Linked DNA regions of Anolis sagrei. The protein of the gene in region 2 interacts with the protein of the main gene of each other region in a biochemical or structural test. Links are inferred from orthologs where the notes say so. Each region holds a gene or a part of one and is shown on either strand. Other genes may lie near its edges.

Region 1 (6,844 bases), on a different chromosome or scaffold from region 2:
AGCAACTATAGTATATATCTAAACTGTTGTAAACCGCTCTGAGTCGCCTAAGGGCTGAGAAGAGCGGTATACAAATAAAGTAAATAAATAAATAAATAAACTACAACTCGCAAATGACAAAGTCATAATTTTTTGAGCGATGGTCACTCCTTGTATTGTGAGACGTTTTGTTCCCAAATTTGGTGTGATTTCGTTCATTGGTTCTTTCGTTTTTAAGATACTCATAATGCACAGAGCATTTTTATATATGTAGATATGAAACAATTTAAAAACCTTGAAAGGTGTGTCTTGAGAAAAAACAGGCCTTTGAGTTTTTCTTGTGTATCCATTAAAAAACATGTTGCGGTGGCTCCACCAAAGGGAGCGGCTGTGGCCGGAGATACGAATAATAATAATAATAATAATAATAATAATAACAATAATAACAATAATAATCCCATGCTGCGTACATTGAGACAATGCAGAGAGTTTGAGTTTTCAATCTGGTCAACAGCAAAAAGCAAGCACGTATGGTCTTCTTCCATTCCAATCGCTTCCTGTTTGTTTATTTCTTATTATTGCTGGAATTTTCCTCTTTTTTGTTTTATTTGTCGGATTTGCTTCGGATAAAAAAGCCGCATTTCTCATTTCTTTGATAACTAAAACCGGCGTCTGTGTGGGGTTGTTCTGGAGCCCTGCTACTTGACGCCCTCGCCCTGCTGCTCGGCCTTATTAGCCTTCTTGAGTCCCTATGTGGAGAAAGGCAGGACAGAAATTAAGATAATCAACATAATATAATAATAAATAAATAAACAAACAAACAGCAGGTTTGATAAGCAACTGGAAAAGGTGGCACGAGACGAGGATTTAAAGATCGAACTGCAAAGACTCTGGCACAAGCCAGTCAAGGGGGTCCCAGTGCAGATCGGCACACTGGGTGCAGTGCCTCAAGACCTTGGCCTACACTTAAAAACAATAGGCAGTGACCAAATCACCATCTGTCCGCTGCAAAAGGCCACCCTACTGGGATCTGCACACATTATTTGCCAATACATCACACAGTCCTACACACTTGGGAAGTGTCCAACATGTGATCCTATACAACAGCCAGCAGAGTGATCTTGTTTGCTGTGTAACAGTCTTGAGTATTAATGGAGCTGCGGGTGGCGCAGTGGATTAAACTCTCCTGCCGGCAGGATTGCTGACCGACAGGTTGGAGATTCGAATGGGGAGGGCAGAGGAGCTCCCTCTATCAGCTCCAGCTCCCCATGCGGGGACATGAGAGAAGCCTCCCACAAGGATGGCAAAAAACATCAAGCATCCAGACAACGTCCCCTGGGCAACGTCTCACACCAGAAGCAACTTCCCAAGTCACTCCTCACACACACACACACACACTCCAGCCAAATATACATACCCTTCCATATGCTATCTATATATGTGTGTGTTTGTGTGAAATTCCCCCTCTTTGATATACAGGCCCCAAGTTACAAACAAGAGAGGTATGTTAAGTCTGAACCGGTTCCTTTATGAAGTGGCACTCCAGCCAAATCTATATCATTAGCTTTGGATGGCATAGAGGTAGGTGAGCTCCCCTGTGCCTCTGTTCAGAAGGTTCCTCCTGGCTTCCCATCCCTGTGAGAATGTGCCAAGATTGGCTTGTTGTTGACGCAAGGGCTGAGGCGAAGCTCCAGCGGAGACCTGCAGGCCACCAGCGGGAAGGTGTTTTCCTTCCTTCGTGTTGATGTGCTCTTGCCATCCTCAGGGGCCGTGCAAGCCCTTTCCTGCCGCAGCGGGCCCCCGATTCTGCCCCGTGGTGCGTTCCCCCGTTGGCACAGCAACCACACATCCGTCTGTCTCCATGGAGATGGGAGTTGGGTACCCACGGCCTCTTCCTCCGGTTGTAGTGGCATCCTGATACAGGCTGTCCCTCCCCGAGTTTCAAATGACTCTTAGTTAAGACCAGTGAGAAAACAGGAAAGAGGAGGAATCCACCCCTTGGAAGCAAGGGAGATCCACTCCAGAAAGAGTAATCCTTCTCAGCGGGGAAAGGGTTCTTCCGGGATTCTTGATCATATATGTGTGTGTGTGTTGCTGGAGCTACATTTATTTATTTATTTATTTATTTATGTAATGTTATTGTTATTCTTATTGGGTTACTGTAATTTTTTTGGGCCGTCTGGTCATGTTCCAGAAGCATTCTCTCCTGACGTTTCACCTGCATCTATGGCAGGCATCCTCAGAGATTGTGAGGGGATTTTGTCAGCGCCGATTGTGTCCAGGCCAAGATCTTGAGGCACTGCGCCCAGTGTGCCGATCCCCACTGGGACCCCCTTGACTGACTTGTGCCAGAGTCTTTGCAGTTCAGTATTTCAATCCTCATATCGTGTCAGCTTTTCCAGTTGTTTCTCTTCAATCCTGCTTTCACCTGGGATTGCAACATTCATGATCCAACTATGGGTTTTTTTGTTTTTGTTATTATTATTATATATTTTATTCTGGAATTATATTATTATTATATTTTATATTATGATTGGTAATGACTATAGGAACGGAACAATGGAAAACGATATTGGATTGTGGTTTGGACGATGAGACGACACTGAATGGTTTTTGTATAATGCTGGATTGTGAATTGTTTTTATACTGTGTCTTGAATGTTGTTGTTCCTCTGTTGTACACCGCTGTGAGTCGCCCCCGGGCTGAGAACAGCGGTATATAAGTAAATAAATAAATAAATAAATATTTTTACTCTAGCACCATTATTATTGTTTTTATCATCATCATCATTATTATGGGAGCATTATTATTACTATTATTTTGTTTATTTGGGCGCATTATCATTATTCTGTTTATTGGGGGACATTATTATTATTATTATTATTATTATTATTTGACTGACATAAAAACACAGTATGTCACAGCAAATCAGACATATATGCCGGATTTCATATTATTATTATAATATTTTTATTCTGGAATTATATTATTATTATATTTTCACTCTAGCACCATTATTATTGTTTTTATTATCATCATCATCATCATCATTATTATGGGGGCATTATTATTACTATTATTTTGTTTATTTGGGCGCATTATCATTATTCTGTTTATTGGGGGACATTATTATTATTATTATTATTATTATTATTATTTGACTGACACAAAAACACAGTATGTCACAGCAAATCAGATATATATGCTGGATTTCATATTATTATTATTATAATATGGAACAATGGCTTCAAACTACAAGAGAGGAGATTCCATCTGAACATTAGGAAGAATTTCCTGACTGTGAGAGCCGTTCAGCAGTGGAACTCTCTGCCCCGGAGTGTGGTGGAGCCTCCTTCTTTGGAAGCTTTTAAGCAGAGGCTGGATGGCCATTTGTCAGGGGTGATTTGAATGCAATATTCCTGCTTCTTGGCAGGGGGTTGGACTGGATGGCCCATGAGGTCTTCCAACTCTTTGATTCTATGATTCTATGATTATATTTTTTATTCTGGTATTATTATTATTATTATTATTATTATTATTATTATTATTATTATTATATTTTTATTCTAGCATCATCACCATCATAATCATCATTATTATTACTATTATTATTATCGGGCATTATTATTATTTTGTTTATTTGGGGGCATTATTCTGTTTATTGGGGGATATTATTATTATTATTATTATTATTGTGTGTGTGTGTGTTTGCACCCCACTTTCTCTCTCTGCAAGGAGACCCCTTCCTCTTCCCACCCATTGCCAGGAGAGGAGAGCCTGTGCAAAGAAGGGCAGGGTGGTCTGCTGAGGGGTGAGGGGTGGGCTGCCTTTCCTCCCTCCCTCCCAGCTGCCCCTCCCCTCGACCCCTTTCCTGCAGCCCAAGGGGGGTGTGCGGTTGCGGTTGGCTCTGCTTCTGCTGCTGCTGCATGCGCATCCTGGCAGCAAGCGGGAGAGCCTCCTTGGGAGACCATGCCCAGCAGCAGCAGGGGGCCCCCTGCCTCCCTGTTCTTGGTTGAAGCCCCGTTGGAGCAGGGGAAAGGGGGAAGCCGCCGCCACCGCAGCAGGAGCAGCAGGCAGAGATGGAGCCCAAGCCTTTGTTCTGCATGCAGAAGGCGCTGGTGCAGCCCTTCCAGATGTGCATGCTGGACATTCCCCTCAGCCTCCAGCACAGCCAGGAGGAATACTATGTAAGTAGGATTTGTGGCAAAAAGGGGGGGGGGATCCCCACACACACAGGCACGCGCACGCTCACCCCTCCGTGCCCCCACCCACCTATTTCACCTGTTCCCACACTCAAGGGTCTCCGCTGTGGCTGTTGCCTTGGCTCACAGGTGCTCCGGCCTTCGAGTATTATTACTATTATTATTACTGTGGGGATTACTATGATCTCAGTGGACACAGCTGCTCTTCTTCTTCTATTATTATTATTATTGTTATTATTGTTATTATTTGATGATCTTGGTAGACACAGCTGTTCTTCTACTATTATTATTACTGTTATTATTATTATTACTATGATGATGATGATGATCTCAGTGGACATAGCTGCACTTCTATTATTACTATTATTACTATGATGATGATATGATGATGATGATCTCAGTTTACACAGCTGCTCTTCTACTATTATTACTATTACTATTATTATTAGTATGATGGTGATGAGGATGATGGTCTCAGTGGACACAGCTCCTCTTCTTCTACTACTACTACTACTACTACTATTATTATTACTATGATGATGATGATGATGATGATGATGATGATCTCAGTGGACATAGCTGCTCTTCTATTATTACTATGATGATGATGATATGATGATGATGATGATGATGATGATGATGGGGGATATGATGATCTCAGTGGACACAGCTGCTATTCTACTATTATTATTACTATTACTATCATTATTAGTATGATGGTGATGAGGATGATGGTCTCAGTAGACACAGCTCCTCTTCTACTATTACTACTACTACTACTACTATTATTATTATTATTATTATTATTGCTATGATGATGGTGATGATGATGATCTCAGTGGACATAGCTGCTCTTCTATTATTATTATTATTATTATTATTACTATGATGATGATGATGATGATGATGATATAATGATGATCTCAGTGGACACAGCTGATCTTCTACTATTATTATTACTATTACTATTATTATTACTATGATGGTGATGAGGATGATGATCTCAGTGGACACAGCTGCTCTTCTACTATTATTATTACTATTATTATTACTATGATGGTGATGAGGATGATGATCTCAGTGGACACAGTTGCTCTTCTACTATTATTACTACTACTACTACTACTATTATTATTACTATGATGATGATGATCTCGGTGGACACAGCCATTCTTCTACAATTATTATTATTATTATTATTATTATTATTATTATTATTATCTTGGAGGACACAGCCATATCTGTCATATGCAAGGCTGGGATGGGCTGGGGGAGGGCTAATCAGTTGAAGGTTCGAGGGTTGAATGCAAAGTAATGCCTCCACCTTTGTAACTCCTCAACAGATGGCAGTACTGGTATGCGGCAGGTACTGGCTTGTTCAGTAGACTCTCCTCTACAGTTCCATTTTGGCAGGAAGCCTTAGCATTGAACGGTTGTGTTGTTAAATTGCGAAGTATGGAACCCTGCGCAGACGGTCAGTCAATGCAACTTAAGCAACATGCAGTCATTGAATTATTGACAGCAGAAGGTGTCACCTCAACATCTTTAAACTTACTCGCCCAAAGACAAACAGTACTCACGTCAACACAATCCCCATAAACAGCTTGAATCCTCTGATGAATCTCCTTTGGGGGTGACATCTAGGAGTTACAAAGGTGGAGGCATTACTTTTCATTCAACCTCGTAAATCCAGGCAAGACAGAGGTCCTCCTGGTCAGTCGGAAGGTGGATCAAGGTGTTGGATGGGGACCCACTCCCCCTGAAGACATAGGTCTGCAGCCTGGTCCTGACCCTGGACTCATTGCTGAGCTCATTGCTGAACCAGGAGTGCCTTTGCACAGCTTGTGCACCAGCTTGTCCCTCGATACGCCAGACCTGGCCATGGGAGTCCATGCCTTAGTCACATCCTGCTTGGACTGCTGCAATGCTGTCTATGCCTTTGAAGATAGTTCTGAAACTCCAACTGGTTCAGAGATTGATGGCCAGGCTGCTTGCTTACTTACTTAGGCGATCCCTTGTAGCTCGAGGATGATGGTCTTCCAGATGTGGTGTCTTGGCGGTGGGTCTGTAGGTGGCTGTGGAGCCCGCAGTGAGGACGTCGGTTTCCAGACAGAAGGTGGTCCCAGTTGGGGTTGGCTTGACGTGCCTTCCTCTTGGCACATTTTTCCCTTTCGCCCTCCATTCGTGCCTCTTCGAATTCTTCAGCACTGCTGGTCACAGAGCGCTCAAGAGCCAGAGCTTCCCAGTTCTCTCTTGGTGTCTATGTCACAGTTTTTGAGATTGGCTTTGAGCCCATCTTTGAACATCTTTCCCTGTCCACTAACATTATATTTCCTGTTCTGGAGTTTGGAGTAGAGTAACTCCTTTGGGAGACAGTGATCTTTGGGTATTCGGACAACATGGCCTTCAGTCCAGCAGAGTTGGTCCAGATCCATCATTGTTTGAGCCCACAGTGCTCTCTGGATGTAGGTGAACTACAACTCCAAAACTCAAGGTCAATGCCCACTGAATCCTCTCAGTATTTTCTCTTGGTCATGGGAATCCTGTGTGCCAAGTTTGGTTCAATTTCATCATTGGTGGGGTTCATAATGTTCTTTGATTGTAGGTGAACTATAAATCCATCAACTACAACTCCCAAATGTCAAGACCTATTTTCCCCAAAC
Region 2 (7,396 bases):
CTCTCCTCTCCTCTTGCTCTTTCCCCCACCCCATGTTTTCTGGGCTGACAGGAAGTGTTTACAGAAGGTAAAGTCAGTAAAACTGAAGAGGAGAGAGAGAGGGAGGCAAAAAAAGCAGATTGTTTTGCCTCCTCACTTACCTGCCCCCAAGGCTCAGAGGCACAGCAAACGCTGTTGGAAAACCCTCTCCTGGGAGCCTAATTCCTTCTGCAGACAGGAAAGGCAGCCCTTAAGGAACATGCAAAAGGCTGACACGCAAAACAAGCACCCACTGCCCCCTGGTCACATCATCTGAACACATGCCTCACTCTCTCACACAACCCCTCCCCACTCTAGGATAGGTTTCTGCACAGGATCTATTCAGCATGTGCAGCCACTGTTAGGATCTCCTTAAAAGAAGGTGTCCAGAAAAGGATGACCAAAATGAGGAAGGCTGATGGAGCCTGGTCTGTTTAGCTTAGAGAAAAGAAGGCAGACAGGGGACAGTAAAAGGTAACCGTTTCCCCTGACATGAAGTCTAGTCATGTCCAACTCTGGGGGTTGGTGCTCATCTCCATTTGTAAGCCGAAGCTTTGTCCGTAGACACCTCCAAGGTCTTGTGGTTGGCATGACTGCATGGAGCACTGTTACTTTCCAGCCGGAGCAGTACCTATTGATCTACTTGCATTTGCAGTTTTCGAACTACTAGGTTGACAGAAGCTGGGGCTAACAGCGGGATCTCACCCCGCTCGCTGGATTCGAACCACAGAGCTTTCAGTCAGCAAGTTCAGCAGCTCAGCAGTTTAACCCGCTGCACCACCAGGGGACTGCAGCCTAGTGTAAATACCTGAAGACTCTCTTTCTGCAGCTCTGGAGTCTGGGACATAATGGAGCAATGGGTTCAAACCGCAGGAATACAGAGAGATTCCACCTAAACACAAGGAAGAACTTCCTGACAGGAAGAGCGGTTAGAGAGTGGAATGTGCTGCTGCCTTGCAAGCTGGTGGAGTCTCCTTCTCTTGAGAGCTTTAAGCCGAGGCTGGATCGAAATCTGTCGGGGTGTCTTGATCACTTTATAATATAATATCTTTATTCTTATATCCTACCTCCATCTCCCCGAAGGGACCACTTACATGGGGACCAAGCCCAATATAAACAAAGGTTAGGAATAACACTATTAAACACATATAACAGTAAAATATATTTAAACAGCTATTTTTTTCATGTCAGGGGCGACTTGAGAAACTGCAAATCACTTCTGGTGTGAGAGAATTGGCCTTGTGCAAGGATGTTGCCCAGGGGATGCCGAGATGTTTGGATGTTTTACCATCCTTGTGGGAGGCTTCTCTCATGTCCCCGCATGGGGAGCTAGAGCTGACAAAAGGAGCTCAATCCACTCTCCGATACTGAACCGCTGAGCTGTCAGTCAACAGTCCTGCCAGCACATGGCTTTAACCCATTGCGTCACTGAGGGCTCAACTAACGCAATCAAAAACATAGAAGAGTAAAATATGTTAAAACAGTAAAACCAATGAAATGTAAAACATCATAAAACATAGACCAGACATCAAATAACCAGTAGTTGGGGGGGAAAAGGTGGGCCTGTGCAGATTTGAGACTAATAGGGCACGACAAGGGCTGGTGCAAATGCAACACTGTAGGGCTGGGAATAAAGTGCTGGAGAGCCAATCAAAAGATTAGGCTTTCATGGCTGGAATCACTGGATTGTTGTAGATTTTTCGGGCTATATGGCCATGTTCTAGAAGCATTCTCTCCTGACGTTTCACCTGCATCTATGGCAAGCATCCTCAGAGGTTGTGAGGATGCTTGCCATAGATGTAGGTGAAACGTCAGGAGAGAATGCTTCTAGAACATGGCCATATAGCCCCAAAAACCTACAATGACCCAAAAGATTAGGGCTAGGCAGATTTAACAGTGTGTTTCTGCATGGCAGAGGGTTGGACTGGATGGCCCTTGGGGTCTCTGCTAAGTCTAGGATTCCTTTTGCAACCGAAGGACTGACAACAAAGGGGAGGAGCCTGAGCACCTCGGCGCCCGGAGACCAGCGGCGACTCCCTTCAACCCCCCCCCCCCGACGACCAGACCCACCCCGCGCCCCCACGGAGGGAGGGGGAGAGAGGGAAGGGGGGGAGGAGCGCGCGCTCCCCTCGAGGGCTCCGTCTCCAAAAGCGCGCCCCTCTTTCTTTCCCTCCAAAAGAGCCACACAGCCGCACTGGGGAGGCGCTGCGGCAGCCCCGCCCGGGAAGAGAGGAGAGGAGACCGAAGGAGCCTTTGCCTTTGGAAGGGGGAAAGGGGTGGGGGGCGGAGGGCCAGCAAGGCACAATCCCAGCCAAGGGAGAGAGGGAAGGAAAGGAAGGAAGGAAGGAAGGAGGAAGAGTCGGCCGCCTTTGCCTACTCGCCCTCATGAATGACTTTACAAGCCGAAAGGCGCGCGTGGAAGGGGGAAGAGGGAAAGGGGGTTTTCTCCCACGCTATCCCCAGTCTCTTTCGCTCTCTCTCCACCCCTTCAAAGATCCCCCACAAACTGAAAGGAGAAAGGTGCCCCTCACCTTCTACTCGCCGCCGTCTTTTCCCACGAGGCTCTTTCCCTCCCACTTTTCCGGGAGGGCTCTCAAAAGGGAGCAAAGTTCGCGCGTGGGGAAGGGCGGGGCAGGGCTAGAGACCCCAGGCGCCTCTTTTGGCAAGCCTTCAGTTCTCCGTGGGTCCCTCCAGGCAGGGGCGGGCTTCCCACGGAGGCGTCGGCGGCGGAGCCCCCTCTTTGCGTCGCCCTCCCCGCATTGGCCCCGAGCCCCGGGCCGCCACGGCTCCGGCGTGGGTGCGACAAGGCCGGGGCACGACGACCAGGAGGAGGAAGGAGAAGAAGAAGAAGGAGAAGGGACCCACGCCCAACGCAGCCCCGGGCGCTCGTCACTCCAGCCTCTCCCGGAGCAGCTGATAGGGCTCAACCCTCGCGCCCCCGACTGCGGGTCCGGCCTCGCGGTGGGCTGGGGAGGCTGTCAATCACGCCCAGAGGGGCGGGGCCAAGCGCGGGAGGGAGAAGGAGAAAGCCAGCGCCGAGGTCTCTCTCTCTCTGTGGGGCTGAAGGAGGGAGGGAGGGAGGGAGGAGGAGAGGAGGAAGCTCGCCCGCCCGCCCGCCTGCTTTGGGTGGGGGAGTCGCCCCTGGTGTATTTTTAGAGCGTGCTGCTTCCTCCAGGGAAATCAAACCACCTCCTCTGCCTTTCAGCGCTGGGCAGGGCCTCCCTCGTCGGTATGAATTCCCCGCCGAGGCAGCACACTCCCATTTCCTTCCTTCTCTATTTAGGGTCGCGCCCGCCTCCTTCTGAAGGTCTCGGGCTGCCTTCGGGCTTGGGGCCGCCATCAGGCCCTTCTTCTGGGTTTGGTTCGGCTACAGCCGCGAAACGAGGGGCCGGGGGGAGGAATGGGGAGGGGAGTAATGAGGAGGGGAGGGGGCGCCACACAAAGGAAGGAGGGGCCGGGTTCTCGCCCCACGAGACCCCCTACTCCCACCGCCCCGATGGAGGACGGAAACGCCCTTCCACACAACAGCCGAGCATCCTTTATTGGTGCCACCATGCCAGGGCTCTGCCAGTATTCAGGCAGAGGTGAATCAAACAAACACCCAGCTTGTTTCTAACAGTTTAATTAAAGCAGCACTTCGTTTCTGGCTGTTTTAATAGTCCAAAATATAAAAAATAAAGATAGCAGGAAGCCACATAATATAAAACAAAACTGGGTAAAAGTATGATAGCTGGGACCGAGTGCAGATAGTGCTACGCTGATTGCGCAATGGTGGTTGTGAATGAGGAACACGTGTGTGGTCAAGAGACTGGGTGGAGTGAGACCAGGTGGAGTGAGATACGCAGGCAGGACAGAGTCTGCAAGTTTGTAGTTGCTTTACCATTCCCGCTCAAATATTGCTTTACTTGCCTTAAGTGCAATGCTTCCCTGTTTGTTGCCCCCCCTTTCTGTTTTCCCTCCCTCCCCTTCTGACCTGAGTTGGGCTCACCGCATTGTGCTATCAGCATTGGCGAAGCAGCGTTGCAGAATCAGCAAAGTGCTACCTGCACTCGGTCCCAGCTATCATACTTTTATCCAAAACAGATAGTAAACACTGCACCGTAGTCAAAGGGTCCAGTCCAGTGGTCAAATGCCGAGAGTTTAGTGAGAGAAGTCAAAAGTCTATACAATAGTCAAAAGCCAATCCAAAAATTCAAGGTTCCAGGGTTCCAAGAGTTCAGGAGACAGGTCAGGACACCAAAAATCCAGAAAACTTAGGAAAAACCAGCAGCATATACTACCAACATAAAACAAATACTTTTCTCCCAAAGATCAGCCCCGAGGTCAGCTCCTTAAAACCAGTAACACCCAACTGCAACCTATCCTTTGCATCCTGCCACTCTTAATTGCGTTTACCTGTAAACTGTTAGTTACAAATTACTCAGCCCTTTAGAACTAAGACTTACATTAACTCTTCCATCACCAACTGTTGGGTCTGCTACCACCAACCACCATGAACTGCAGGACATGATACATGACAATTGGGAACGCCCCAAACTGGCCACAGTTTGGGTGGTACAATGAACAAAAACTTTGTTGCAGGCACACAATTGGGATCCATAGTGCATGACACTACCTTTGGGCCTATGAGTGTGAGAGCTGTGCATAAAACCAATGAATTGCGTCTTTAGACTTACATCACATTTCTAAGATAATTCATTATATTGTCGAAGGCTTTCATGGCTGGAATCACTGGGTTGTCTGTTGGAAACTAGGAAAACAGGGTTTATATATCTGTGGAATGTCCAGGGTGGGAGAAAGAACTCTTGTCTGTTGGAGGTAGGTGTGAATGTTTCCATTGGCCACCCTGATTAGCATTTGATGGCCTAGCAGTTTCATATAAACCCCATTTTCCTAGTTTCCCACAGACCTCAAAACCTCTGAGGATGCCTGCCATAGATGCAGGCAAAATGTCAGGAGATAATGCTTCTGGAACATGTCCATACAGCCCGAAAAACTTACAACAACCCATAATTCATTATGTTGTGTTGCTGTGAGTTTTCCAGGCTGTATGGCCACATTCCAGAAGCATTCTCTCCCGATGTTTTGTCTACATCTATGGCAGACATCCTCAGAGGTTGTGAGATTTGTTGGAAACTAATATACCAATATACCTCACAACCTCTGAGGATGCCTACCATAGATGTGGGCAAAATGTCAGGAGAGAATGTTTCTGAACATGGCCATACAGCCCAGAAAACTCACAGCAACCCAGTGATTCTGGCTATAAAAGCCTTCAACATTATGCAAATCATCATCATCATGGACAATCATAAGTGGCAAAGTAGGGTTGTCTTTCAAGGGTAGTCTTTGCAGTGACTCCTATTCTGGATCCCTAGGAACTTTCAAAACGAGAACACACATTTCCAGATGGAAGGGGGAGCCAACAAGGGATTCACCCTCTATTTGTGCCTCTTCAAAATCTACAGCACTGCTGGTAAGTTACAATGTTAGAGCCCCAGGGCCTTCCCTGTTCTCCATGTTTATTCCGCATTTTTTAAAGTTTTCTTTAAACCCATCTTTAAATCTCTTTTGCTGTTCACCAACATTCCATTTTGAACATGTTATCTTTTTGTGTTTTTCCATTGCCATGTCTAATACTAAAAGGTTTTATGATGTGAAAATATAGAGAAATAATAATAAAATAACTTTTCTAATCTAAAATTAGAATAAAAAGTGTGCATATGTTGTTTTGAAACAAAGGAGATAGAAAAGTTGAGAAATGGAAAATGAAAAGTCCTAACTAGCACTTTCTACCCTGTCTCTGCTGTCCTCTTTATAATGAAAAAACCTATTATTGTTGTCATAAAACTTCATATCTCTGGTAGATTAACTTTGCAGGATCTCTTGGATACCATTGAGGATCCTGTTATTCTTGTCACTGAATTCTCTTATTTTTTTATTTTCTTGTTCTTCCTTTGCACTATTAATTTTCCCTTGGTGCTATAGAAAACCCGATATTTTCATTTTCTTTTCTTCTTTTAAATAGTAAATAAAAGGCTGCCATTCTTCTTCAGATTTAGAAGGATCTGGCAGTTTTATATGCCTAGTCAGTCTGTCCATTTCTAATTGTATAAACTTGATCAATTTGTCAATTTCTACCTGATCCATCATTTTTGTAATCCATAAATCTTGAGAGGGAATTACTTCATGTTTCCGGTAATCACAAATAATGAAAAGCTCACCTCCTCTTGTTTGGTGAATTTAGTCCATTGATATTTAAAGAAAATATATTTAAAGTCCTTGATCTTAAAATAGTAGATGATCATCCAATTATTCATCACGTGGAGTGGCCTGCTACTGTAGTTGAACATCTTCCTTATTAAGGTTGCCTTCTCTTCTTGCCTTCTTGGATGTTTTCTTATTGGAAAGCCCACAATCTATTGGAAATTTCAGTGCACGATAACCTTATTGAAAAGATAAAAATGATGTCACCTCCGTTTGGGAAAATTTGAATCTCTATGAACTTAGAGACCACTTGAAAACCACAAGTCAGGAATGGCGTGACCTTGTTAGAAGTCAAACCTTAAGACAACTGATATTCATAAAGCATTCATGTGATAGCGCCATGGGTAGCTCAAGTGTTAAACTTAGGAACCATGTCTTTAAACGGTTATGGATAAAGACAGGCCACTACAAAAATCTATCTGGTTAGCAGAGGATGTTTGTTTGAAATAGAATTTGCAGTTGCCCAAAAGATATACACTCCCTTAAAACATGCACTCAAGAGAGAAAACAAAGTAGTCTTCTTTGAAAAAAAAATATAACTTGTTTACTAACAAACTTGTATATATTCAGTATACAGGCACATAGTATTTAAAATGTCTTTAGGCATATCTGTACTCACTCAAATCCCTGAGCACACACATCCACCTCCAGTGAAGTCTGAAACCAAACATATCTCATTGAAGTCCAAAAGTAAACATCTACCTCATTGAAGTCCAAAAGCAAACTACAAAATTGAGTCCAGGTCTGAAGCCCCTCCCACAACAAAGAGGAAAGCCAAACTGGAAAATCAACATACACATAGAATGCAGGTTAACAAATATATATTAACAAACAGTTAGTGAAGGATTGTAAGGTTGCTGTTTCCAACATCTCTTTCTCCTTGGCCTTCTTAAGTTTATCTGTCAGAAAAAAGCAATTTATTATTTCTTTATTATCTGCGGTGGAAATTTTCTTAATACTGCAATCCTGGTATTTCTTATTTCAATTGGATCATTGGTGTTAACTTGCAAAACTTGATCTCATGTTTTCTTTCTTGAAAACAACACAATCACAGCTTATTCCTCATTGCATGTTGGGATTGGACTCCAAAGATGCTGTCAATTTGAGCCTC
Region 3 (7,247 bases), on a different chromosome or scaffold from region 2:
AAATGGTTGACACTAATTTGCTGGACATTGTGCAAGATCTTCCATGAAAGAACACAATAATAGCTTATCAAATCTCCTGACTTAAATGATGAATCTGTAATTGTGAGAAATGTGTTTTATTGGCTGGTAATAAATAGATTGATTTTTGTTATTGTTACCATTTTATTTTTGCATACTGAAATATGCACTGTAATTCTGTATCTCTACACAAAGCATTTTAGGTATGATTTTTCCAGTTACACAGTTGTTGTTGTTCATTCATTCAGTCGTCTCCATGACCTCATGGACCAGTCCACGCCAGAGCTCCCTGTCGGCCGTCACCACCCCCAGCTCCTTCAAGGTCAGTCCAGTCACTTCAAGGATGCCATCCATCCATCTTGCCCTTGGTCGGCCCCTCTTCCTTTTACCTTCCACCTTCCCCAGCATAATTGTCTTCTCTAGGCTTTGCTGTCTCCTCATGATGTGGCCAAAGTACTTCAACTTCGTTTCTAGTATCCTTCCCTTCAATGAGCAGCCGAGCTTTATTTCCTGGAGGATGGACTGGCTGGATCTTCTCGCAGTCCAGGGCACTCTCAGAACTTTCCTCCAACACCACAGCTCAAAAGCATCTATCTTCCTTCACTCAGCCTTCCCTAAGGTCCAGCTCTCACATCCGTAGGTGACTACAGGGAATACCATGGCTTTGACTAGGCGGATCTTTGTTGCCAGAGTGATGTCTCTACTCTTTACAATTTTGTCGAGATTGGACATTGCTCTCCTCCCAAAAAGTACGCGTCTTCTGAGTTACACAGTACTTGCAAAAATGAGAGATCCTACCCTGGATATTTTTTTAAAATGGTAAATTGGACTGAAAGCACTGTCAGAAAAGGAATACAAAATAAAACTGCCAATAAATACTACACTCACACAGATCTATGGTATGAGGACACTTGGAATAACAGTTCTGGTTACAAAAAGTGCCTCTCAAAATTTATACAGCTGTACAATGATCAAAGGAGTAGAGTAACTCCTCTAAGAGGAAAGAGTATGATATTTGGAGCAGTTTAAGTGAGAGGATGAGGGGAGAAGGTAAAGAGAGATTTATTTATTTATCGTGTCAGAAGTTGATTGAAAATACAGTTATAATGCATTAAAAAAAACACAAAGTGAAAAACTTGGCCAGGGTGAACTTTATACTATAAAATTTATACAAAATTTCCTATGACCAGAAGCTGGCCACTTCGAATGCCTCTGGTTTGGCTGTGAGAAGGCCTTTCTTTCTGCATGTGGCAGTGCTCAGACTGCATTGTAGTAAGTGGTCTGCTCTTCTTCACACTTGCATGTCATGGACTCCACTTTGTGGCCCCATTTCTTAAGGTTGGCTCTGCATCTCGTGGTGCCAGAGCACAGTCTGTTCATCACCTTCCAAGTTACTCAGTCTTCAGTGTGCCCAGGAGTGAGTTTCTCATCAGTCTCGCCCACTGATTGAGGTACCAGGTTTTAGCCTGCTACTTTGGGACTCTCGCTTGCTGAGGTGTCCCTGCGAGTATCTCTGTAGATCTTAGGAAGCTGTTTCTTGATTGAAAGAATTGGCTTGCTGGCTGATATCTGAACAGAGGATGGGCTGGAGATGTCAATGCCTTGGTCCTTTCATTACTGGCTGCTACTTCCTGACGGATCAGGTGGTGTAATACTGGCTAAACAGTATAGTTTCTCCAGTGGCGAAGGGCGTAGACATCCTGTGATACTGTGGCATGTCTCATTAAGAGCCACATCCACTGTTTTAGTGCGGTGAGATGTGTTCCACACTGGACATATGTATTCAGCAGCAGAGTAACAAAGCACAAGGGCAGATGTCTTCACTGTGTCTGGTTGTGATCCCCAGGTTATGCCAGTCAGCTTTTGTACGATATTATTTCCAGCACCCACTTTTTGCTTGGTATTCAGGCAGTGCTTCTTATAAGTTGGAGCACAGACGGGAGTGCCTCCCAGGTATTTGGGTGTGCTGCAATGCTCCAGTGGGATTTCTTCCCAAGTAATCCTCAGCACTTGTCTGTTCTTAAGGTGAAAACCACACGCCTGCATTTTAGATGGATTAGGAATCAGAAGAGGCATGACATTATGCTTGGTGTGATAAATGTTGATAGAAAGAAATGTTCCTACAGGCTTTTTTTTCCTATGAGGAATGGCTTGAGAAACTGCAAGTTGCTTCTGGTGTGAGAGAATTGACCGTTGCCCAGGGGATGCCGGGATGTTTTGATGTTTTACCACCCTTGTGGGATGCTTCTCTCATGCCCCCACACGAGGAGCTGGAGCTGACAGAGGGAGCTCATCCGCGCTCTCCCCGGATTCGAACCTCCGACCTGTCGGTCTTCAGTCCTACCGGCACAAGGCTTTAACCCACTGTGCCACCGAGGGCTCCAGTTCAGTTCAGTTCAGTTCAGTCCAGTCCAGGGGTGTCAAACCGCCTTAATTCTAAGGTGTGTAGATGCACACACACCCCCGACCTGGCCCCGCTCCTCTTTCGGGCCCGTTTCTTCTCTTCCCACGCGACACGAAGGCCTCTTGAAGGAGCCTTGCGGTTGCCTGCTTCCGAGAAACGACCGGCAGCAAAGCAACCAAAAGCATCGCTATAGAGACGCAGCTGCGGAAGGAGCCGGCCAAGACGCCTCCCCCCCCCCTTCCCTCGCTGTTTTGGTTCCCGCCCTTTTGGGTCTCCCTCCCAACTCCTCCTTTAAAGATGGAGCAGCCACCCCGCCGCTTCCCTTGGCCGCATCATTCCAGAAACTTGCATTCATGCAGTTGGATAGCACATCAGACTGTCCTGGCTCACTGCTAGGGAGTCGTGGGAGGTTGTCGTTTCGTGATACGGGGGCCCTCTTGGGCAGAGAAGGGTTAAAATCTTGTCAAACTACAACTCCCCATCTTGAGAACTGGGGCGTCGTCCCTTGCCTTTCGAGGCGGGAGAAGCGGCACGTCCCCCTCTGCGCTGTCTCTTCCACATCCTGCCTCCCACCCGCATAGTTTCCACTCGTGAAAGGGAAACACGAAGGCAGAGTTGGGGACTCTTCGTGTCGGAAACCAACGAGTGACGTTGGGAGTTCACTGTGACCGAAGACTCTCTCTCCGGCTTCCCTGCCTTTGGGTGAATCTCCACTGTAGGATTCACACAGTTCGACACCCATTGAACTCAATGCTTTGGAACCATGGGAGGTTGCAGTCGTACAAGCGGATGCCCCACCAAACGAATCCTTGTGGATTTCAATGGTTTCTTTGTGTAGTCTGGCACGGTGGTTGTTAGAGTGGTCCAGCATTTCTGTGTTCTCAAATATGCTGCCATAGGTGTGGGCGAAACGTAAGGAGAGAATGCTTCTGGAACATGGCCATACAGCCCGGGAAACTAACACCAACTCGATGGGAGTTGAAGTCCAAAACACCTGGAGGACCCAAGTTTGCCCAGGCCTGCTCTATCAGATAGTCATTGAAAAAAAACCATAGCAAATGTGCTGCAGGATGTCCCACAGAAACAAAGTTTTTGTGCACTTTGATAAACGTTTTTCCATGTATTTTTAATGATAGAACCAATTAGGAAACAACCATTTATAAGCCAGGAACAAAAATCGTGTGACATAGTGCAACTCAGGAGGGTTAAGAGACTTATTTCCCTCCTTTCTCCTTTCCTCCCTTTTTCCCTTCCTTCTCTCCCTCCTTCCCTCTCTCCTTCTTTTCTTCCTTCCTTCTTTCCTTCCTCCCCTTCCATCCCCTCCTTCCTTCCTTCTCTCCCTCCCTTTCCCTCCCTCTTTCTTTCCTTCCCTCCCCCCCTCCTTCCTTTTTCCTCCTCCCTTCTTTCCTTCCCTCCCTCCTTTTCTCCTTCCTTCCCTCCTTTTCCCCTTCCTTCCCTCTCCTTCCTTTTTCCCCTCCTTCCTCCTTTCCTCCCTCCCCCTTCCCTCCTTCCTTCCTTCCTTCCTTCCTTCCTTCCTTCCCTTCTTCCCTCCCTCCCTCCCTCCCTCCCTCCTTGGCGCGCTTTTGAGAGTTTGCTGCTTGCGAGTTGCATTCCGCACTCAGTTCAGACGGGCTGGTGTAGACAATAATTAGAGCCAGGGAAGCGACCCCGCTTTCAAGAGAGGCTCTCATTTTCCCAACAAAGACCGCCAGTGAGTTTTCTTCCTGGCAGCCTCGAAAGGGGGGAGGAGGAGGAGGAGGAGAGGGGAAAGGCGGGGAGGGGAGAGAGAGAGAGAGAGAAGTTGAAGAAGTCGGGCGGAAAGTGAGTGGGAGGGGGAAGGCTGCTGCCTCTGCCTGGGAGCGTGGGGATGCGCCCCGGCCTGTGTGCGAGGAGGGGCCCATGGAGATGATCGAGCTGCGGGCGCTGCGGCCGGAGCGGGCCCTGGACCTGACGGAGCCTCGCCCCGCCGTCCGCCTGGAGCGGGCCAACGCGCTGCGGATCTCGCCCAAGGGGAAGGTGCCCGAGATCCTCAGCCGCGTCCGCCTCATCCGCCTCCGCGGCGGGCAGCGCGACCCCCGCCTGACCGAGGAGCTGGGCGAGGGGCACCGCTTCCGGCCCTGCGCCCAGAGCCAGCCCACCTGGTGCGACCTCTGCGGGGAGTTCATCTGGGGCGCCTCCAAGAAGACCCTCCAGTGCCTCCGTGAGTACCCGCGCCTCTCCCACCCTCAGCCAGGGGCCAACTTCGGCCCTCCGGGTGTTTTGGACGACAACTCCCGCCATTCCTAACAGCCTACCGGCTGTTACCGAAGTTGGCCCACGAGGCCTAAATACCCAAAAGCATCCCCCAAACTTTTGTTTTGGCTCTGTTTTTCAATTTCTCACATGTGGAGATATTAGAGGCCAGGCAGCTGGCACCAGATCCTATCTGATCTTGGCATCTAAGCAGGGTCATCCTTGGTTAGTGCTTGGATGGGAGACTGCCAACCAGTGCCAGCTGCTGTTGACTGTATTTCTGAATCAAGAACTAGCAGAACCACCTCTGAATATTCCTTGCCTAAGAATCCTATGAAATTCATGGGGTCACCTTAAGTTGACAAGCAACCCCACTGGAAGGCACATACAAATACACCTATTACAACCTCATCACACTCGAGCATGTATCCACTTTAAGGTCAAGGTTTCCCTTGACATTAAGTCTACCTCTGGGTTGTGGTGCTCATCTCCATTTCTAAGTGTAAAAGTCAACATTGTCCGTAGACGCCTCCAAGGTCATGTGGGTGGCATGACTACAAGGAGCCCGGTTAACTTCCCGCAGAAGCGGTACCTATTAATCTACTCACATTTGTATGTATTCAAACTGCTAGGTTGGCTGAAGCTGGGGCTAACAATGGGAGCTCATCCCATTTGGCGGATTCGAACTGCAGACCTTCTGGTCAGTAAGTTCTGCAGCTTAGAGGTTTAACCCACTGAGCCACCGCAGCCCCTTTGTACAGAATTCTGGGACTTGTAGTTTAGGTAGGAGCCTTTAAACTGCTCATCCAGAAAAGCCATAGGCCTCCCTAAACTACACACCGCAGCATTCTGCAGGAGACAGTCACAACTTTTAAAGTAGATCGAAGTGGATCGATGCTCAAGTGTGATGAGGCTCTTAAGGCAGAAGCTCAGCAGGAACCACCCCTTTCATGTTTTCCTCACTAGTGGAAGAAATGTGTGTGTCTGCCTTGCAGCAGTATGAAAAGATAGAAATTGTACTTGATGCACAATTGGTCATACAAGCTGTTTTATTTTTGTAAGCAATCCAGACTGAATATTAGGAAGAAATTGAGTACTTGATTTTTAAAAAAAGAATGTCCATAAATCCTGTACTAGAAGTGTGTGCCGTCCCTAATTCTTCTAATATTTGATAGTTTTCATACACTCAGGAGTTTTGTCTCTTTTGTAGTAAGTCTATACTTTTTTGTGCATTCTCTTATTTCAACTCCTAGCAACAAAGCTAAAGCACAGAGAGAGAAATGATAGTTGGAGTTGTTTTTAAAGGACATTATGTATTGGATCAAAGTTTGCATGAAAGCGTTGCTTGCAAATTTTGTAGAATTTTCAACTCTAGGAGGAAAAGTGATTAGATTCGCAGTGGTTCTCAACTTGTGGGTCCCCAGATGTTTTGGCCTTCAACTCCCAGAAATCCTAACACTTGATAAACTTGCTCGGATTTCTGGGAATTGTAGACCAAAACACCTGGGGATCCACAGGCTGAGAACCACTGCTAGAGCTAAAATGAAACAGAGTGTTCAGAATTGGCCCATGACCTTGGCCACCCCACCACAGTCAACCCCAAATAGAATGAGTACTTCCTGCTCTGCGTCACCCATAAACTTTCTGGTATTTTTTGCAATTTTGGTGAGAATACATTTTGACAGGTAGTACAATGATTTATTTAGTGACTCTGAATGTAAGGTTCTTCAGAGTCCCTATGGCAACCTGTGTATTAGTCCAAAATATGTCACAGCAGCCCTGGTACATTTGGAAGCTGTCCTGCTCATTCTGCTCAGCAGTATCCTCAGCTTCTGCCCAATCTTGTTCCTGGAGAACATCACTGACTTTGGCTGAAATGTCCCTACCAAAGTTTCCAAAGTCTGTGCCTTCTGGTAGCACAATTCAAAGCATGTCTACAAACCATGAAGTTCAACTAATGTTAGTAAGGCTTTCTTTTAAAGGCGTATGCACAGGATTGCAACTTTAAACCCCAAAAAAGCCTAAAAATATACATTTAAAAATACATTTTAGGCATATAGACTTATTTGACAACTGACTTTTTCTGTATGGAATATAGCACATGAAAGGCTATACGAATGGAAAGGTCAATTGTACTTTGGATGAATATATTTAGAAAATACAATGTTGTTGTCACTATTATTACTATCTGCTCTTTGAAGCGGTCAGGGGTCTTTTCCACACATGCCCAAAAAAGGAAAACCCAAACCACTCAACAATTTGCTTGGCTCTTTGCAGATCTAGTCATTCATATCTGCTTTGACTTGGATGCTGTATTAATATAGATTCAGTGGATGAAACTTTGGCCCGTGTTTGTCCAGTAGCAATCAGTACTTTTCAATTTGTGCAATCCAAGAATGTGAACAGGATTCTTAGAGAGATGAAAGCCACCACATGCAGGTTAGATTAAGGCCCTCACTGGCATATTTTTAAAAAAGGTAGTAGGGGACTGGCTGAAGGAGTAGAGAGATTAATGTCTCATTAAAATAAAGCAAACCTCCAGCTTGCCTGAAGGTGTCTGATATAAAGTCAACAACAACAACGACAGCAACGA
Region 4 (7,968 bases), on a different chromosome or scaffold from region 2:
TTAATTAAGAATTCAGGTACACGTGAACTGTTTCACATTTCAAAACAATGCTGAAAACCAGAGAAGAGAGTCTAGGCCAGGCATGGGCAAACTTTGGCCCTCCAGGAGTTTTGGAACCCAATTCCCACAATTCCTAACAGCTGGTAGGCTGTTACGGATTATGGGAGTTGAAGTCCAAAACACCTGGAGGGCTGAAGTTTGCCCATGCCTGGTCTAGGCCCAGAAACCTCTGCCCTAAAGTGTATCTACACTGCAGAATGAATGCAGTTTGACACCACCTTAACTGCCATGGCTCAGTCCTAGTAGCTGTAGTTTTACAGATCTTTAGCTTTCTGTGCCAGAATGGTTAATGCATCACCAAACTGTAAATCCCAGGATTCCCTAGCATTGCACCATTGCAGTTAACGTGGTGTCAAACAGCATTAATTCAACAGTATAGCTGCATCCCTAGAGGGATCTTAAAGGAGTGAATGTGAAACAGAGAACAGAAGAGAAGAGGAATTCTGTTTAGCAGGAATAAGAATTCTGCACTTGTACTTTGTGGACTGTGCAAAGCATTGGAACACTGTATGTGCCAGGTTCAGTATAAAATAAGCAATATTGCTGCTGTTTAATTACAAGTTTGATTTAATTCTGCAAATTGTTTACACCTTTGCTGTTTATATTTACAGTGTTTATTTCTAATTGGCTCCATAGATCCCAAGGAAGTGGTGTATAGGCTTTACTGACTTAGGCTATATCCACACTACATAATTATAGCAGTTTTACATCATGTTAACTGCCATGACTCAATGCTATGGAATTTTTGTGTAGTTTTGTGAGATGTTTACCTTTTTCTGTCAGAGAGCTTTAGTGCCACAAAAAGCTGCAAATTCCAGGATTCTATTGGATCGACCCATGGAAGGTAAAGTGGTATCAGACAGCTGCAATTCTCCAATGTGGTTAGTCTTTTAGTCATTTTGTCTGAATTATAGAGTTGGAAGAGACCTCATGGGCCATCCAGTCAACCCCCTGCCAAGAAACAGGAAAATCGAATTCAAAGCACACCTGACAGGTGGTATTCAACCTCTGTTTGAAAGTCTCCAAAGAAGGAGCTTCCACTACACTCTGAGGCAGAGAGTTCCACTGCTGAACAGTTCTCACAGGAAGTTTTTCCTAATGTTCAGGTGGTATCTCCTTTCCTGTAGTTTGAAGCCATTGTTCCGCATCCTAGTCTCCAGGGCAGCAGAAAGTCAAGGATGCTCTTTTCATTGAAAGACAATTGGCTCTTGGTACTCATAGATTTAGCCACTGACAGCTTGATTTTTTTTTAAACAAACTTTCATGTAAGGGACACCATTTACTATGCCATTGTATATAACAAGACTTGCGTTTCCATGGATTTTGGTAACCATGGAAGGTCCTAGTACCAATTCCCAGCAAATATCAAAAGCCCACTGTATCTTCTGCTATAATGCAAAACATGGGGATAATCTTAGTGTGCAAATGATATTCATTAACCTTACAAAAAGACCATTTCTGGTGGTGGGAGATTGATCGAAATAGTTTGTTGTTATGCATAGATATAACTGCCTGCACTATTAGGTCATAAGGAGCACCTGCATTTCAAAAATTACCATTAAGCCACTGGGTTGTCTTTGTACTATGAGAGAAGATAATGGAAAACATGAAAAGAAACCAGACCTTGGTGGAAACTTACTGCACATAGAACATGCTGCAAAGAATGGAGCCTTTTCTCCCAGGGCATGAAACTCCTGAGAGATCTAACCTCACTATGCCTGTCTGTACACAGCTTAATGGGTTTTCTGCCCCTAGTGCCAAAGATGTACAAAGCCAAGACGGCTTGGTGTATTTTCGTGAGGCTTTCTGTCTCTTTATCCAGCTGATGAAGCCTCCTCTAAAGTCCTTGAATCTGGTTTAATGAGAGCCCATCTACCTTTGTGAAGGAAAGAGGGAGCATTTCATTTATTGTAGAAGAAAGGGATGGGCACATAATACAATTCCTGCACTGCTCCAGGAGGCTTTTATTATTTTTTTCTGGATGAGAAAATGTCTTTTACAGATGCAGAAAAATACTTACACTGGAAGGACGTTGGAATAATTGACCTTCAGAGGTCCTTTTCAACTCCAATTCTATGACTCTCTTCTGTTATTATCATTCACATACTTTTTATGTTTTTTCAATTCTATCCCTTGTAATTTGGCCCAGACTGCTGTGCACATTTCTATTATTTTATTTCATTACCTGTGTTTGACTTTGTATTACCTTGTTTTGTCTACATTTTATTTCATGTTTATTATTTGCAGCATGTATTTTATTTTGATCTGTTGTAATTGTTGGGCTTGGCCTCATGTTAGCCACTCCAAGTCCCCTTTGGGGAGATGGTGGTGGGATAATAATAATAATAATAATAATTATTATTATTATTATTATTATTATTATTAACACAACAAGATGAGTCCACAGCAGACACTCTGCTGGCTGTTGTATTAGATCATGCATCGGACACTTCCCAAGTGTCTAGGACTGTGTGATTTATCAGCGAATAATGCATGCAGATCCCAGTATGGTGGCCTTCTGCAGCTGGCAAATGGTAATATTGTCAGCGCTGATTGTGTTTAAGTGCAGGCCAAGGTCTTTAGGCACTGCATCCAGTGTGCCAATCATCATTGGGACCACCTTGACTGGTTTGTGCCAGAGTCTTTGCAGTTTGAGCTTTAAATCCTCATATTGTGTCAGCTTTTCCAGTTGTTTCTCTTCAATCCTGCTGTCACCTGGGTTTGCAACATTGACAATCCATACTTTGTTTTTTAACATGATCATGAGGTCAGGAGTGAGGTGCTCCAAAACTCTGTCTGTCTGAATTCAGAAGTCCCAGAGGAGTTTGATGTGTTCATTTTCTGTAATTTTTTCCGGCTTGTGATCCCACCAGTTCTTTGTTGCAGGCAGATGGTATTTGCGGCACAACTTGTTATTATTATTATTATTGTTGTTGTTGTTATTGTTATTATTATGTTATTGTTTGCCTTGAGGTCTTTTTTGACCTAGGGGTGCATCTACACAAGAGAATTAATGCATGCAGTTTGACACCCCTGTAGCTACCACAATTCACTACTATAGAATTATAGAAGTTGTAGTCGTACTCCAATGCTCAAACATAGGCTCCTATTTATTATTAGTTTTTACCAATCCATCAAAAAGCCCTGGAAACCTTCCCTTCCTCCAGGACTAAAAAAGAAAAAAAAACCTTGGGTATATTATCTTGGTCAATGGCCAGCAATGAAAAAACACAATATAGAATAAGGAAAACATAAAGTAAGGCAATAAAATGTCAGTATTTGAACTAGAGCAAAGAAACAATGTGAAATAGAAAAAGTTAAAAACCAATGATGAATAAGCCTTTGACAACACAATGACAACACAATACTGTACTCTCAGGGCTCTTCCACTGAGGGCCCTTTCATACAGCCCTATATCCCAGAATATCAAGGCAGAAAATCCTACAATATTTGCTTTGAATTGGGGTATCTGAGTCCACACTCAGATAATGTGGGATTTCCTGCCTTGATATTCTGGGATATTAGGCTGTGTGGAAGGACTCACAATCATATAACTCAGATTATTGAGGCAGAAAATCGCTGAAGACCTTCAGAATATACAATATTTTCTGTTGGCAATGGGGGTTCTGTGTGGGAAGTTTGGCCCAATTCTATCATTGGTGGGGTTCAGAACACCCTTTGATTATAGGTGAACTATAAATCCCAGCAACTACAACCCCTAGATGTCAAGGTCTGTTTTCCCCAAACTCCACCAGTGTTCATATTTGGACATATTGAGTGTTTGTGCCAAGTTTGGTCTAGATCAATCATTGTTTGAGTCCACAGTGCTGTCTATATCTAGGTGAACTCCAACTCCCAAACTCAAAGTCAGTGCCCACCAAGCCCTTCTAACATTTTCTGTTGGTCATGGGAGTTCTGTGTGCCGAGTCTGGTTCAATTCCATCGTTGGTTGAGTTCAGAATGCTCTTTGATTGTAGACGAACTATAAATCCCAGCAACCACAACTCCCAAATGATGACATCAATCTCCCCCAAACCCACCAGTATTCAAATTTGGGCATATTGGGCATTTGTGCCAAATTTGGACCAGTCAATGAAAATCCATCCTGCACAGGCTCGTAGCCAGGATTTTGATTTGCGGGTGGGGGCTGAGTTTGATTGGGGGTGCTGAGGTTGATTTTGGGGAGGGGGGCAGAGGATCTACCCTAGCAAACCTTTGGTATCATTATCCCAATACCCCCATGCCTATGGGATATATTGATCATGGTGATCAGATCATGATATGAATAAACACAACAGTTTAAATAATGTACCAGTAAGGCCTTCTCATGGACCACCCTGAGAATTTCGGGGGGGGGGGGGGCTGAAGCCCATCAAGCCCCCCCCCCCCGGGCTACATGCCTGATCCTGCATATCAGATATTTACATTCATAACAGCAGCAACATTGCAGTTATGAAGTAGCAACAAAAATAATGTTCTGGTGGGGGGTCACTACAACATAAGGAACTGTATTAAGGGGTCAGGGTATTAGGTAGGTTGAGAACTACTGGTTTAACCCATTGCACCACCGGGGACTCCCCCATTCCTGGTTAAAGATAGTCATACCTTTAATCCTTGCACATTAACCAAGCTATTGCTGCTGCACGATGCGTAATAAGCCTCTGAGCATGTGCAGAATGCCTTTCTCCCCAAACTTTGTTGTATTTTTGGTGAGCTAAAGAGGAGTCGGGAGTTGTAGTGCGGAGAAGGATGGAGAAAGACCTGGTGGAAGGACAGCTCCCGGGAGGGGCTCCCTAGAGAGGCAGGAGTGGTGTCAAGGCGCATTAGCCCCGCAGACAGGGGCCCGGCGAGGCCGCGGGGCCTGGCTCCTCCTCCTCCTCCTCTTTTGCAGGTCCCTTTAAGAGCGCCTGCGCTGCCGGCCAGGTCGCTCTCTCGCAGACTCGGAGGAAGGAAAGAAGCAAGGAAGGGCGGGCGGGCGGGCGGCCTCCCTCTCTCTCCCTCTCCGTCTCTCTCTGCTCCTCTGGGGCCATGGCCATGGCTTCTCCGGCCGTGGGGCAGTTCCCCCCGTATCCGCCGCTGCTTCTGGACAAGGAGCAGCAGCGCTTCCTGCAGAGCCTCAGCGCCTCGGAGAGGAAGAAGCTCCGCAAGCGCTCCCTGCCCGCCGGCAATAGCGACCTCCTGCATCCACAGCAGCAGCAGCAGCAGAGGAGGAGGAAGAAGAGGCAGGCCGGGGGGGCCATGGAGGGGGGCGAGGAAGAGGAGGACGAAGGAGAGGAAGGCGCCCAGGAGGAGCAGCAGCAGCAGGAGGAGCAGGACCAGGAGGAGGAGGAGGGAGGACAGGGGCGCAATGCGGAGCCGCCGCGGGGCGCCAACCTGCGCCTCATCCTCGAGCCTCCCGAGGAGCCCTCGCCCGCCAAGCCCGCCTCGCTCCCCTCTCACCCGCACCACCACCACCACCACCAGCGGCTCCGGCTGAAATGCGGGGCTCCACGGCTGCTCCCCGACGTGCGCACCATCTTCGAGCAGCCCCGGGACCCGCGCGTCCGGCCCGAGAAGGGCGAAGGGCACCGCTTCCAAGGCTTCGCCCTCGTCTGGCGCGGGTGGTGCGACCTGTGCGGGAGGGAGGTCCACCAGCGGGGCCTCCGCTGCGCCAGTAAGTGCGCCAAACAGGGGAGCCGGGGGGCGGGCGGGAAAGGGGCAACCCCGTGCAATGCAAGGACCGGCCCTTCCTGGAAAGTTTGGGTGCCCAGGCCCATTGGACACAACCTAAGGGGCTCCCCACACACATCCACACCTGAACTGCCCACCCCACTTCCCTCCTTGCTTCATATCTACTATTCCAGTGTTTCTCAACCCTCCTAATGCATTAACCCCTTAATACAGATCCTTATGTTGTGGTGACCCCCAACCATAACATTATTTTTGTTGCTACTTCGTAACTGTATAATTTTGCTACTGTTATGAATCTTCATGTAAATATCTGATATGCAGGATGTATTTTCTTTCATAGGGCCTAATTTGGTACAAATACTCGCCCAAATTTGAATACCGATGAGGTTGGGATTGATTTTGTCATTTGGGAGTTGTAGTTGCTGGGGTTTATAGTTAATCTTCAATCAAAGAGCATTCTGAACTCCACCAACGATGGAATTGGACCAAACTTGGCACACAGAACTCCCATGACCAACAGAAAATACTGGAAGGATTTGGCAGGCAATTGACCTTGAGTTTTGGAGTTGTAGTTCATCTACACCCAGAGAGCACTGTGGACTCAAACAATGATGGATCTGGACCAAACTTGGCACAAATACTCAATATGCCCAAATGTGAAGTGAACACTGGTGGAGTTTGGGGGAAATAGACCTTGACATTTGGGAGTTGTAGTTACTGGGATTTATAGTTCACCTACAATCAAAGGGCATTCTGAATACCACCAATAATAGAATTGAGCCAAGTTTACCACACAGAACCCCTGTGACCAACAGAAACTACTGTTTTCTGTTGGTCTTTGGTGACCTCCACAGGGGTCCCAACCCCCAGGTTGAGAAACACTGTACTATTCCTTAGATCAGGCCTGGGCGAGCTTGGGCCCTCCTCCAGATGTTTTGGACTTCAACTCTCACCATTCCTAACAGCCTAACAGCCTCCCCCTTAAGCCTCAGCTGCTTAAGGGGGAAAAGGAAAGGGCCTGACGCTGTTAGGAATGGTGGAAGTCCAAAACATCTGGAGGGCTGAAGTTTTCCCATGCATTCCTTAGCTGCACCTCTTATGAAGCACCTCTTGTGCAGCAGCCCAAACCTATAGACTCCTAAGGCACAGAGGAGCATTTTAAGGGGGTGCTTCTTGATTCTTCCGTACTTGGGGGGTAAAGTTTAGCAACATGTTCACCACATGAGCCTCACCTAGCAGAGCAGACACATTGAGAGACCACCAGTGTCTGGAAGCCTTCCTCCATGTGCCACTCATTCCTTTTAAAAGCTAGACACCCTGATAGAAAACAGGTAAGAAAAGCGTAAGCAGCTGAAGGGGGAAAGGAAAGGGCCTGAGGCTGTTAGGAATGATGGGAGTTGAAGTCCAAAACATCTGGAGGGCTGAAGTTTGCCCATGCCTGCCTTATGCACCTCTTATGAAGCAGCCCAAGACATGGTCCTTCAGATTGTTGTTGTTCATTCGTTCAGTCGTCTCCGACTCTTCGTGACCTCATGGACCAGCCTACGCCAGAGCTCCCTGTCGGCCGTTACCACCCCCAGCTCCCTCAAGGTCAGTCCAGTCACTTCAAGGATGCCATCCATCCATCTTGCCCTTGGTCGGCCCCTCTTCCTTTTGCCTTCCACTTTCCCCAGCATAATTGTCTTCTCTAGGCTTTCCTGTCTCCTCATGATGTGGCCAAAGTACTTCAACTTTGTCTCTAGTATCTTTCCCTCCAGTGAGCAGTCGGGCTTTATTTCCTGGAGGATGGACTGGTTGGATCTTCTCGCAGTCCAAGGCACTCTCAGCACTTTCCTCCAACACCACAGCTCAAAAGCATCGATCTTCCTTCGCTCAGCCTTCCCTAAGGTCCAGCTCTCACATCCGTAGGTTACTACAGGGAATACCATGGCTTTGACTAGGCGGATCTTTGTTGCCAGTCTGATGTCTCTACTCTTCACTATTTTATCGAGACTGGACATTGCTCTCCTCCCAAGAAGTAAGCGTCTTCTGATTTCCTGGCTACAGTCTGCATCTGCAGTAATCTTTGCACCTAGAAATACAAAGTCTGTCACGGCCTCCACGGTTTCTCCCTCTATTTTCCAGTTGTCAATCATTCTTGTTGCCATAATCTTGGTTTTTTTGACGTTTAGCTGCAACCCGGCTTTTGCGCTTTCTTCTTTCACCTTGATTAGAAGGCTCCTCAGCTCCTCCTCGCTT

The links.
Region 1: the proteins of HRAS (region 2) and RALGDS form a complex in vitro, tested with the Homo sapiens proteins (4 studies listed by BioGRID and IntAct, with this or other methods). The link is inferred for Anolis sagrei from reciprocal best matches to the Homo sapiens genes HRAS and RALGDS.
Region 3: the proteins of HRAS (region 2) and RASSF1 form a complex in vitro, tested with the Homo sapiens proteins (2 studies listed by BioGRID and IntAct, with this or other methods). The link is inferred for Anolis sagrei from reciprocal best matches to the Homo sapiens genes HRAS and RASSF1.
Region 4: the proteins of HRAS (region 2) and RASSF5 form a complex in vitro, tested with the Homo sapiens proteins (2 studies listed by BioGRID and IntAct, with this or other methods). The link is inferred for Anolis sagrei from reciprocal best matches to the Homo sapiens genes HRAS and RASSF5.

What each region holds. Positions count from the first base shown.
Region 1 is NC_090031.1:18,839,371-18,846,214, reverse strand, and holds the start of RALGDS (ral guanine nucleotide dissociation stimulator), read left to right. Parts: upstream 1-3,842; 5' UTR 3,843-4,058; coding exon 4,059-4,166; intron 4,167-6,844. UniProt on the Homo sapiens protein: Functions as a guanine nucleotide exchange factor (GEF) activating either RalA or RalB GTPases and plays an important role in intracellular transport. Interacts and acts as an effector molecule for R-Ras, H-Ras, K-Ras, and Rap.
Region 2 is NC_090021.1:240,068,665-240,076,060, forward strand, and holds the start of HRAS (GTPase HRas), read right to left. Parts: upstream 3,032-7,396; 5' UTR 2,550-3,031; intron 162-2,549; exon of another isoform or gene 141-161; intron 1-140. UniProt on the Homo sapiens protein: Involved in the activation of Ras protein signal transduction. Ras proteins bind GDP/GTP and possess intrinsic GTPase activity.
Region 3 is NC_090022.1:72,797,043-72,804,289, forward strand, and holds the start of RASSF1 (ras association domain-containing protein 1), read left to right. Parts: upstream 1-4,216; 5' UTR 4,217-4,321; coding exon 4,322-4,622; intron 4,623-7,247. UniProt on the Homo sapiens protein: Potential tumor suppressor. Required for death receptor-dependent apoptosis. Mediates activation of STK3/MST2 and STK4/MST1 during Fas-induced apoptosis by preventing their dephosphorylation.
Region 4 is NC_090024.1:195,606,947-195,614,914, forward strand, and holds the start of RASSF5 (ras association domain-containing protein 5), read left to right. Parts: upstream 1-4,943; 5' UTR 4,944-5,088; coding exon 5,089-5,713; intron 5,714-7,968. UniProt on the Homo sapiens protein: Potential tumor suppressor. Seems to be involved in lymphocyte adhesion by linking RAP1A activation upon T-cell receptor or chemokine stimulation to integrin activation.